3 linked regions of the Pelodiscus sinensis genome follow. The protein of the gene in region 1 binds, or shares a complex with, the protein of each later gene. Links are inferred from orthologs where the notes say so. Each region holds a gene or a part of one and is shown in the gene's direction. Other genes may lie near its edges. The genes, in order: TAF1B, RRN3 and POLR2H.

Evidence for each region.
Region 2: TAF1B (region 1) and RRN3 share a complex: the UniProt entries of both Homo sapiens proteins name them as parts of the pol I pre-initiation complex. The link is inferred for Pelodiscus sinensis from reciprocal best matches to the Homo sapiens genes TAF1B and RRN3.
Region 3: TAF1B (region 1) and POLR2H share a complex: the UniProt entries of both Homo sapiens proteins name them as parts of the pol I pre-initiation complex. The link is inferred for Pelodiscus sinensis from reciprocal best matches to the Homo sapiens genes TAF1B and POLR2H.

Annotation. Positions count from the first base shown.
Region 1 is NC_134713.1:27,654,913-27,658,656, reverse strand, and holds the start of TAF1B (TATA box-binding protein-associated factor RNA polymerase I subunit B), read left to right. Parts: upstream 1-1,266; 5' UTR 1,267-1,722; coding exon 1,723-1,740; intron 1,741-3,744. UniProt on the Homo sapiens protein: Component of RNA polymerase I core factor complex that acts as a GTF2B/TFIIB-like factor and plays a key role in multiple steps during transcription initiation such as pre-initiation complex (PIC) assembly and postpolymerase recruitment events in polymerase I (Pol I) transcription.
Region 2 is NC_134726.1:17,932,730-17,936,473, forward strand, and holds the start of RRN3 (RNA polymerase I-specific transcription initiation factor RRN3), read left to right. Parts: upstream 1-1,089; 5' UTR 1,090-1,283; intron 1,284-1,564; 5' UTR 1,565-1,573; coding exon 1,574-1,666; intron 1,667-3,744. UniProt on the Homo sapiens protein: Required for efficient transcription initiation by RNA polymerase I (Pol I). Required for the formation of the competent pre-initiation complex (PIC).
Region 3 is NC_134720.1:48,355,358-48,359,101, forward strand, and holds the start of POLR2H (DNA-directed RNA polymerases I, II, and III subunit RPABC3), read left to right. Parts: upstream 1-1,349; 5' UTR 1,350-1,489; coding exon 1,490-1,562; intron 1,563-2,026; coding exon 2,027-2,110; intron 2,111-3,103; coding exon 3,104-3,197; intron 3,198-3,744. Other genes in the region: major facilitator superfamily domain-containing protein 8-like, read right to left, coding at 466-541. UniProt on the Homo sapiens protein: DNA-dependent RNA polymerase catalyzes the transcription of DNA into RNA using the four ribonucleoside triphosphates as substrates.

The DNA of each region.
Region 1 (3,744 bases):
CAGATGAGAAAACTGAGACAGCAAAGCACTGGCAGGTACAGGTTTTGAACTCAAGGTCAGGTCAGGATTGTGATCTCCTGACCCTTCCCCCAATCTCCTCAACAAAACCCCCATTGCTCGCCGTGTTGTGTATCTAGCCTTGCTAAGTATCTACATAATTTTATTGCTATAACTTCTGCCCTTCTTTTCCTGACCCTTGTATACAGGAGTGCAATTGTAATTAACTAACTAACAAACAGGGATCAGATGGAACAAAATTAAAAGGGAGGAGGATCTGGGGTTTCTTCCCAGGAAAAAGCAAATAGCATTTTACATCCCTCAAGAACCACATTTCTTGCCCACATTCTCCCTCTTTCCTTTCATCCTCAGCTTCTGGAAGGCCTTCTTATGCCTCAAGAGCATCCCATAAAGCTCAGATTTCTGCTTAATTTCTTTGCACTCATGGTCTCCAGGAACTCTGCCCTCCCCAACATCTTTCCTCCTTTCCCCCTTTAGTACTCAAGAACTCCTTCTTACTCCCTATCAGTTCTGACCTCCCATCTCTGGGACTTGCTTGGGCTGCTGCTGGTACTTTCTGTGACCTGATTAGAGAGAAGATCTTTATGCCACAATTACTGGCTTGTGGCTTCTCTTTTGCACTTAGTACATTTTTGGGTGCTATGAAATAATTAGTATTTCTCATTAGTAAGAGCAGTAAGACTTTTCACTGTCTGATATGGTTCTGTGGTAATTGTAACAGCCACTCTATGACATGGACTTTTGAACATAATGACAAGCATTTCTTAGGTGGCTATAGATACCAATCCTTTGGCCTTGCATCAGATGGCTCTGCAAAAACATGTGATTTAGAACAGCTTATGGTATTGCTCAGACATTTAAAAAAACTAAAAAGTTTGTCAGAACAGTGTCCTGTATCAGGACATAAAACTGAGCCCTTGACCATTAAACAACTGATTTAAAACTAATAAACAAATATTTTTACATAATGCATAATTAACCTATGAGACTCATTAGCACAATATATCAGAGTCCAAGCTCTTAGTAGGATTTAAAAAAAATATTATTTATACATCTACATGGATAGGGACAACCATCACAGTTACATTATAGAAGGAAGATTATAAACTGTCATGGTTCAGGATATAAACTAATCACTAACTGGCAAAGACTAGGAAAAATTTCTCCTTCAGGTTGTACTATAATCGTTCTTCTGATGCATTTGGTAAAGTCTTAACTCTTTACGTTTCAAATATGAAATATCACCGAAACAAAGGTCTGTAATAAAAAAATAAAAGTGTGGTGCACATTCGGAGAGGGCGGATCTAGCTCCGCTGGTGCGTCTTGTAACAGGTGGACAGCAGCGAGGTGCTTCTCCGGGAGCTCAAGCAGCCAGGGCCACCAGCTTTCTGCCCTACAAGTCCCGGGCTCAGTCCTCAGCTGGCGAATAATGCAGCAGCTTCCGCCTCGGGCTGTGGCTCAGTCAAGTCCGCGGGGCAGATTCCCATCCAGGCTGAGCCCAGGGGATGCAAATCGGCGCCGCCTGCCCGCTGCCTCGGGGAAGGGGCGCACGAGGCGGGCGCTCCCTGGGGAGCTGAGTGGCCCTAGGACCCGGCCGGAACCCAAACGCGCGGCCCCGGTTCCTGGCCGGCTGCTCTTCCCCCGCGCGCTGCCGCCGGAGCGCGAGGCCCGAGGCAGCGGGTTTGAGGCGCGCGGGCCGCAGGCATGGAGGAGGAGGAAACGGTGAGACGCGGCCCGGAGCCGCCCGGTGCGGGGAGAGAGCGGGAAGCAGGGCGGGGGCGCGGGGGCGGGGTTAGGGAACGGGGGTTGGCGAAGGGCTGCGGGTGGTGTCTGGGCGGCAATGGGGGTTGTGGTGGGAGGGCGGATTGACATGGGATGGGCAATGGGGCGGGTATGAGCAATGGGGCCATTTTGAAGGTCGGGGTTTTTGCCCTGTTAACGGGCAGACAAGGATGGGGTAGGCTGGGCTGGGATTGTGGTGTGAGTGTAGGTAACAGGTGGCCAGAGAGCAGCAGCTGTTCCTGGGTGCCCAGTGCTGAGGCAGTGCCCCACCAGCAGCCATGCAGAAGAAAAGGCATCAATCCCATGCCATGTCACCCGTACTTCTGCGCTGCTGGTGATGGTGGCTCTGCTTTCAGAGCTCGGAGCCTGGTCAGCAACTGCCATTCTCCCGCTATCTTAGGCTCTGAAAACAGTGTTGCCACCAGCAGCAGTGCAGAAGTAAGGGTAGCAGTACTACAGTACTACTCCTTTTCCCCCAATACATTTGCAACCCCTGCTTCCCCACACACACATACACATCTCCTTTTTGGATCAGACCCTTTAGAATTACAACATGGTACAATTTCAGATTTAAATAGCTGATGTGACATTTACAATTTTTAAAGCCCTATGATGGCAAACTTGATCAAAATGGACAGTGAATTTGGTAGGTTTCTGCCTATGGTTCATTGAAATAACTTTGCATTTTGCGAGATGAAAGGACACTGACAGATTAAGGATCCACTGTGGGCAAATCAGTGCAAGTGACTTTTGGGGAGGAGGGTATCTATGATCCTGAACTGAATGGGTAATTAATGATTTAGCAGAACAAGTTAAGCTGATTTAAGAAATTTTAAAATCTGCAAACAGAATTTTACGATATTAAAAAATATTTCTCCCATCGATTCTCTCCCATGTCCTCATTCCTTCCATAACAGTGGTGGAAAAAAGGACCTCCGCAGGCTGGATGTGGCCTGCCAAGTGGGTTGATTCAGCCAGCAGAGGCCCTGCCACTCCCCCACCCCCAGGCCAATTAGGACCTGGGGGCAGGGGGGAGTATATGAAGTTTCCTTCGCCCTGACAGGAGTGCGCAACTCCTTGTAGGGTGGCAGGAGACTTCATACACTTCCTGCACCCCCAAGCCCTGATTGGTCTGGGGGCAGAAGAGGGAGCACGCAAAGTCTCCTCTCACTGTGAGGGGCATGGATACCTAGGGGGAACTTCGGGAGGGGGGGCAAAGGCGCTCTCCCATCCCCCTGGACCAATCATGGTCTATGGGTGGGAAAGCATCCTCTCTTCCTCCCCCCCCCCCCCCCCCCCCCGCTCCTTCTGCTCGAGGCCCCGCGCCTTCCGGTTTGGCCTGAGGCCACTTCAAAAATTTCTGAAGTGACCCCTGGCAAAAAATAATTGCCCACTGCTGATCCAGAATGAGACCTTACTTTTTAATTAATCTCTTTTTCTTGGGTGTCTCTAGTCACCTTTTATTCTTGCAGGCTTTCTTCCATTCCTTGTGTTCTCTAACTTTTTTTTTCTGGTGTACAGTTTACTAAAGTTTTCCTTCACTTCTTTTTTTGACTGTCAGCTAATATTCTCTTCCCTTCCTAATGTTTTGTTAATGTCCTGTAGTGTCAAGTATTCTAGGCATTAGGGATGTAAAATCCCATTTAATTAGTTAGGTGGTTAAGCATTAAGTTTAATCAGTTAACCGATTAAACGGGGCAGGTGGGCCCCCTGGGAGCTGAAGCAGCCTTCACTGGTTAACCATTAACAACCATGCTAGGCATAAGTTACATGGGTTTTCACCCTGTGATAGTGTTGCTGTGTACAGCAGTTAACACAGGTCAGGTAAAGAATTGGAAACATATATTAATTACAGTGATAGACCCAAGAATCTCGAATATATTTAGTTTAACAAAGAGAAGATTAAAGGGTAACTTGATCACAGTTTATAAGTATTTTTGTGGC
Region 2 (3,744 bases), on another chromosome or scaffold:
CATTTCCCAAGAGAGTTAATTAAGCCCTAAAGGGTTCTAAACTCCCTACTTACTTTTTTGCATTCAGATTTTCCATATGGGACTTAGGCACTTACCTGCCACTTTAGGCACCTAAATTCTAGAATCAGGCAGCACTGGTGTTTACAAACCCCTATCTTAGCTGCCACTTTGTGAATCTAGCCTAGTTTGACTTAAGTGAGGCAGAAGGCAGGGAGTGGAGGCAGGTACTGGTCTCATCTTCCTCAAGAGACTACAGGCAGTCCCTGGGTTACATACAAGATAGGGATGTAGGTTTGTTCTTAAGTTGAATCTGTATGTAAGTCGGAACTGGCGTCCAGATTCAGCCGCTGCTGAAACTGATCATTTTCAACAGCAGCTGAATCTGGATGCCAGTTCTGACTTACATACAGATTCAACTTAAGAACCTCAGGCGTCCCCAAGTCAGCTGCTGCTGAAACTGATCAGAGGCTGATTCCAGGAAGCCCAGGGCAGGGGTTTCCTGTAGTCAGCACTGGTCAGTTTCAGCAGCGGCTGACTTGGGGACGCCTGGGGCAGAGCAGCTGGGGCGCTGCTGGGTTGGTCCTGAGCTGCTCTGCCCCAGGCGTCCTGATTCAGCCGCTGCTCTGGCACCCCCATCGCCCCTACACCCTGAGCGCTCGCCGTGGAGCCCCGCCAAGATGAAGCCTTGCCCAGCGCCGCTGGTGCTCCCGGGGCCGCGGGCTACTTCGGGAGAACTTAGGCTGGTTGTGTCCGAGCCGCCGGCAGCCCAGGGAACGCGGAGCCCAGGGAAGGCGGAAAGGACGAGGGCGGGAGGGAGCCTAGAGAGCCGGAGCTCCGGAACCGCCCCTCCCCCGGCTGAGATCCCCTGGGCTGGGTGACGTTGCCGCTACTACCCTCGCAGCGGAGGAAGCCCTCGAGCCGGGCCGCAGGTGTTCGGCGCTGCCCGGCGCGACAGAGGCCGGGCGCCCCCCACTGCACACGCCCGGCTCCTCGCGCCAGTCCTCCAGGAGCAGCGAGAGCAGAGCTAGAGCAGAGCTCCGTTCCTGCCGGCGCGCGAGCCTCTCTATGGGTGCGGAGGCCTCGTTTTCACTTCCGGGAGGCCGCCCAGTCCTTTCCCGTCCCAAGGCAGCATGGAGGTGGCCGGCCCCGCGGCGCGAGCAGAGGGCGGCGCGTGGTGTCTGCTCAACGGCTAATTGAGACACCTCCCCCACCCCCGGCGGGGAGCGCTGCGGAGTTTCTCCCGCAAGCCTCTGCCCGGAGTCTGCGTGGGGCGGCCGGCGGAGGTGAGGCGCAGGGGAGCGGGCCGGAAGAAGCGTTTCTGCCCCTGTTCCTCTCCCTGCCCCGCTTGGGCTGTGTCTGTGCAGAACAGCGGGGGGCGCGAGGGGGGGCGGGTCGTGGTTTCCCGCTGTGGAAACGCGCGTGAGGCGTTCTCGTCTCCCCGACGCGTCCTTCGGCTGCTTTGCCGCCGTGTGACCTGCCTGACAGGCGGGAGCGATGCAAGAAATGTCGCAGCCCAGCTGCCGAGGTGCCTCCGTGCTGTGCTAATCTGTGTCTTGCCCTGTAGGCGCTTAACATGTTGGGAGGAGATGAGTTCATCAGTTCGCCCCCGAGAAAAACCGTCAGGTTCGGTGGGACGTTGACAGATGTCTTACAGAAATACCAAGAGGTGACGCTTGTTTACTTTGAACTTACTTACTCTTTACAGACTGTTTCTCAGCGTATTTAGGTGTTTATGCCAGTGTATTCATTTTAAGCAGGTGGAGTCAAGCTCTCTCTGATGCCAGTGTAATCCACACGCTTACTCAAGGTGGTGTGTCCTAGTGGCAGGTAGACTACTTACAGAGAGAAAGAATGAGGGTACTATACAACCTCAGCTGAGAGCCAGCTGGTTTTTAGCTCAAGCTGTGTAGAGGCTCATGCACTGAGCTCAAAAGTCCCAGGTTTGGTTCCACCTGTAGGTGTTACACTAGTACATGTCTCTTGATTTCAGAGGGGTTCTTCCAACTCTTCTTTCTCATTTGGGTATTTGGGCAAACCTGTGAATGCCTTGCATTCAACTCAACCTTATCTGTCTGTGATGTGATAGCTTGTGAATGTCACATCCAGTGAATTCCAAAATTTCAGTGAATGTTCTAGGGCTCAGTAGTGGCTGGAACCCTGTTGATTTTGGGGCAAATCAGAAAATGGAAAGGGGGAAACGGAGGGCTGTATGGAGCTCCTGCCCCTTGATTAACATAGCTTTGAGCTTCAATCCCCACTGTACTTATCTGTAGTGTATAGTTCTGTGGTCATCAACCAGTTGATCATGAGGCGTTACGGGCCCCCCATATCTCCCCACCCCAAAAAGCCTCATTACCTACCTCGAGAGACAATGGAGGTAGTGGCAGTTTCCTGCAGGCTGGACAGAAGTCCTGCAGTTGTGCGTCACTTCTGGGGGTTCCGGAAAAGCACTGGCTGCTTCCTTGCCCCAAGTCTGTGGTGTGCCAGGAACTTACCCGGTGAATCTCCAGAGGCGCACGCTGGGACTTCCCTTCTCTGTGGGAGGGGGGAGTCGGGCCTGGAGGGGGTGCTTGATGGGGGCTTCCCTGCTCTGCGGGAGGCTCATGGCGGAGGTGCACAGTGGGGCTTCCTTCATCTGCGGGAGGGGGGGTTACCCTGAGGAGGCACGTGCATGGGCTTCCCTGCTCGGCCCCGGTGGAGACATGCGACAGGGCTTCCTTTCTCAGTGGGTGGGGAGGATTGGCCCCGAGGGGGCGCATGCGTGGGCTTCCCTGCTCTGCGGGAGGGGGGAATCGGGCCCAGAGGAGGCATGCGACAGGACTTCCCTCCTTTTGGAGGGGGAGGGGAATCCTGGGAGAAGGGGGGTTCAGGGGACTCTCTGTCTCCACTAGCACCCTGTCCCCTGCTGCAGAAACCTGTCCCCCGATTTCCTGGCACCCTGTTCTCTCTCCCCTGCCCCCCGCTGCAGAACCCACTATCACCCTTCCTCAGTACCATGTCCCCTGCTCCCACCAGAACAGTTGGGGCCACATTAGTGAGGCTTGTGGGGGTTTTGGAGGAGGGGTGGGTGTGTGTGTGTTTTCATTTCACTTGTGTGGCCCCAACTGACTTTTCTTTGGATCAGTGACCCCTGACTCGAAACAGGTTCCCTGCTCTTCTCATAAATAAAGACAATGCAGAAACTTTTTGTGTTTGACATAGTATTTTATTTAAAAATGAAGCCTGGTCAACAAACCCCCTGTTGGGGCCAAGCCCCCATCTGGCCACAGCATCATAATGCTTCTGCATGCCCCCTTCCCCCAGACCCTAGATCTGAGCCTGTCATACACTGGAACCCCCTGCCCTGAGCCCCTCACATACCCCAACCCAAATTCCTGAACCCTCACATCCACAAGCCTGTGGCTTGCTTAGTACCCTAACCTTACATCTGACTCCAACACTGCCTGGCCTGGAGCCTCTCCCCGAGACAGCGTCCCCTTTTCCACATCCTCCTCCATCCAGATTTCCTCCCAGAGCTTGCATCTCTCACTCCTTCCCGCAGCCAAATCCCTTATTCCCACCCCAGAGCCTACACATCCTGTCCCAACCCAGTGAGGGTATGGCTAGACTGCAGGAGTTTTTCAGGATTCTGGAGAGATCCCAGAAAAACTCTTCTGCATCCAGGGATGCATTTGTTCTTCCGCTTTTTTTAGTGGAAGAGCAAACATGCTCGTTAGGTCACCCCAATTTTTCCATGAGGAATAA
Region 3 (3,744 bases), on another chromosome or scaffold:
GCAGCATATAGGGGCCAGAACACAACACAGAATCAGAGCCCAGCTCTGCCATCAACTTGTGGCCTGACTTCAGGCAAACTGGTTAACCCCACCTCCGTTTCCCATCTGAGACATGATGAGACGGAGACTGATCCGGTCCAGAAGGTCGATTAACATCCACAAGGCTTTGACACTATGGCAATGGGGGTCAGATATGAAAATTCATAACCCCCCCATGGAACACAAACCAGGGTGTGTCACTCATGGACATTGGCACAGCAGCTCCATGGGAGCCCCAAAGACAGCAGAGGCCTCTGGAGTTGGCTCTAACACTCAGGGCCCAGGCAACCTTGCCCGTCACCTATTCCTGGAGATTTCCTCATAGGCCATAATCTTGACTTAAAGGAGACTCCCTCCAAGCTAATCCTGGAGGCTTGGCAGCCCTATTGGCAGGGTATCGCCTCCACCCCTGGCCCCAGCGCTCACCATACTCGATCCCTCCCGACAGGAAGAGGAGCCCAATGGTGCAATTGGTCAGTTTCTTCTTCCTCTGATACTCCATAGATCCTGCCGGGTTCCTCCCGCCGCGGTGGAGGTGGCGGCTCCTTGCAAGACTCAGAACCCGGCTGCGGCGTCTCTGCCGCCAGGGGCCATCGCTGCTGCGCAGAGCCCAGGTGCCTAGCCGGGCAGCCTTCCGGTGCACATGGCTAGGGACCCCCACCTGCCCCGGCCCCGCGGCTTCCCACGCAGCCTCCGCAAGGATCCGTCGGTGCACCGGCTCCTCCCCCCGGCCGCAGGGGCAGCGTTTCTGGGCGGGAGCCAGCCAGGCCAAGGGACACCTGGCTCCTCTCGTCCCCCGGGGGCGCTCCCTGCCCCGGGACGGCAGGGCAGGCGGGGATGGAGGAGTCACTGGCCCAGCAGGGCCCAAGCAGAGGGAGGGGCTGGGCTGGCAGCTGACGCCGCACCTGCCTGGGAGCGCAGCGCAGCCCCGCGTGCAGCAGGTACCCGAAGGGGGGGGCGGGTGGTTATGGGGCCCAGCCCGGGGCCTGAAGGGCGCCCCTCCCCCCAGCCCTGGGACCAATGGGCGCCCCTCCCCCACCTAATCACCTGTCCCCCCCCCCCCCCGGGAGATCGGGAGAGCCCCCCCACGGGCAGTGCGGGGATGGGCCTCGCCCTGGGTGTTTGTGTAGGGTCGCGGGGGCCGGGCTTTGCGGGGGGACGGGATTGGGGGCGGGTCTATGGGACGGGGCCCCGGACACCCCGACAGGCGCTGCCCGCAGGTGCTGGGAGCAGCCGGGGAGGGAACCCAGGCGTCCGGGACACCAGGGGGCGGGGCGGGGCTGCGAGCGCCCAACAGACGGGAGGGAGCCTGTGCGCATGCGCGGCGTAGAGCCGGGCCGGGGGAGTGCTTCCGCCCCGCACTGACATGGCGGCGCCGCGTGGGCTCTAGCGGGCGCCTGGCCGGAAGTGAGGGTCCGCCGGCCCCGAGCCCCTGCGCCCGCCGCGCGCCATGGCCGGGATCCTCTTCGAGGACATCTTCGACGTGAAGGACATCGACCCCGAGGGCAAGAAATTCGACCGGGGTGAGTCAGCGCCCCCCCCCCCCAGGTCCAGGGGGCCGGGCCCCATAGCGCCCCCTCCCCCCCACGGATCTGGGGCCGGGCCCCATAGCGCCCCCTCCCCCCCACGGATCTGGGGCCGGGCCCCATAGCGCCCCCTCCCGCCCACGGATCTGGGGCCGGGCCCCATAGCGCCCCCTCCCCCCCACGGATCTGGGGCCGGGCCCCATAGCGCCCCCTCCCCCCCACGGATCTGGGGCCGGGCCCCATAGCGCCCCCTCCCCCCCACGGATCTGGGGCCGGGCCCCATAGCGCCCCCTCCCCCCCACGGATCTGGGGCCGGGCCCCATAGCGCCCCACGGATCTGGGGCTGGGTCGGGAGCAAGGCCCTTGAATAAACAGGTCCAAACCTCCCTCCCCCAAGATCTGGGTGTGAACGTGAACCGAAACTGCGTCCCGGGTCACTGGTTCTGCTCCTTCTCTCCCAGTTTCCCGCCTGCATTGTGAAAGTGAGTCTTTCAAGATGGACCTAATCCTGGATGTGAACATACAGATCTACCCCGTGGACCTGGGTACGTAGTAGGGGGCCCTCAGGCTGGCAACAGATAATCCTTGTATCAGGCAGCCCCTGCTGAGCTAGAGCCAGCTGCTGGCGGAAGTGCCCATAACACTATGGGCTTGTCTACCCAGGGTATGAAGTTTAATTAAGGAAAAGGCTGTGTGATTTAAAGTGCAGTAAGCCCCTGTCTGCATGCTGCTGTTCTGAAGGAACGAGGCCTTCAATTAGATCCAGTGGTCACATGCAGCTGTGATGTGAGGGGAAGCACTTCACCTGCCTGACAGCTCCATGACCTCTAGGGATCATGCTACTCAGAGCGCATCACCTGGCACTTGGATGTGCTGTTGAATGCCCTGATTGCCCTTCCTTGGAGCTGGGAGCCCTGAATACTGTGTGCCTGAGTGACTGTGCAGATCGGGGCGAGGAGCCAGTTCACAGGTGGCTTGCTTCTCTTTGCCATCAAGCACCGTTGCAGTAAGATGCAGCCTGTATGCCTTGTGTGCTTTGGTTTCGGAGTTCCTTCCTGGCTACGTCTACACCGGCAGCTTCTTGTGCAAGAACTGTTTTGCGGAAGAGTTCTTGCACAAAAAGTCTTCCACAAGAGCGCGTCTACACTGGCATGTGCTTTTGCGCAAGAGCATCCATGGCAGTGTGGACGCTGTCTTGCGCAAGAAAGCTCTGATGGCCATTTTAACCATAGGGGCTTCCTGTGCAAGAAATTCATGTGGCCCGGCTACACTGCCCTCTTGTGGAAGAGCTCTTGCGCAAGAGGGCTTATTCCTCGTGGGGAGCGGAATAACTCTGCCGGCAGAAGCCCTGTTTTACAACGCTGTACTGTAAATTTACTTGCGCAAGAACGCGCGTGCAGTGTAGACAGCAGGCAAGTTTTTGCGCAAGAACAGAAGCTGCCGGTGGCGACGTAGCCCCTGTGTGGGATCATACTTCCTGTGCCCAGCTGGCCTCCTTGGGAGCGTGCCTTTCACCTGCTCTCTGTTGGGTATTGCAGGTGACAAATTCCGTCTGGTTATTGCCAGCACCTTGTATGAAGATGGGACCCTGGATGATGGGGAGTATAACCCCACCGATGACAGGCCGTCCAGGTAACGGGGCAGCATCTGGCAGGGAGTAGCTCAAGAATTCAGTAGTGTCTCATGCAGGCTGAGGTCAGTGAACGGAGGGGTAAAGAAAGTGGGGAAAGCGTGGAGCTGGGGAGCTGCCCTGGGTCAGCATCCCTGTCTGATCACGTTGGCCTTTAAACACCAGGGAGAAGGGGCTAACCAGAGCAGCCCTTGGTTCCCAGCCTTTGTCTGGCAGATTCCCACTGTGGTCAGTCGGCAAGTGGGCACTGCTGTCTCCTCGCACGTTTGCCGCTTTTGCTTTTGTGCCCGCGCTCTGCTCTCTTGTCGGCCGCCGTTCATTTTCTCTGTTTTCCTTGTCATCTTTCACTTTTATCTGTCCTGTTGAGTTTTTGGTTTCTAAACTCTCTTATCCGTAATTAGACAGTCCTCGTCACTGCTGTATCTGAGCAGCCCCTATCTGTTCTTGGCGGCCCTGGTTCTGTAGCTCCTCCATATTCGCCGGGGGTTGCTTGAGCTAGCTGTGGCTATTGGTGGTGCTGTAAGGCCGGATTGCACGTGCCTTCAAGCT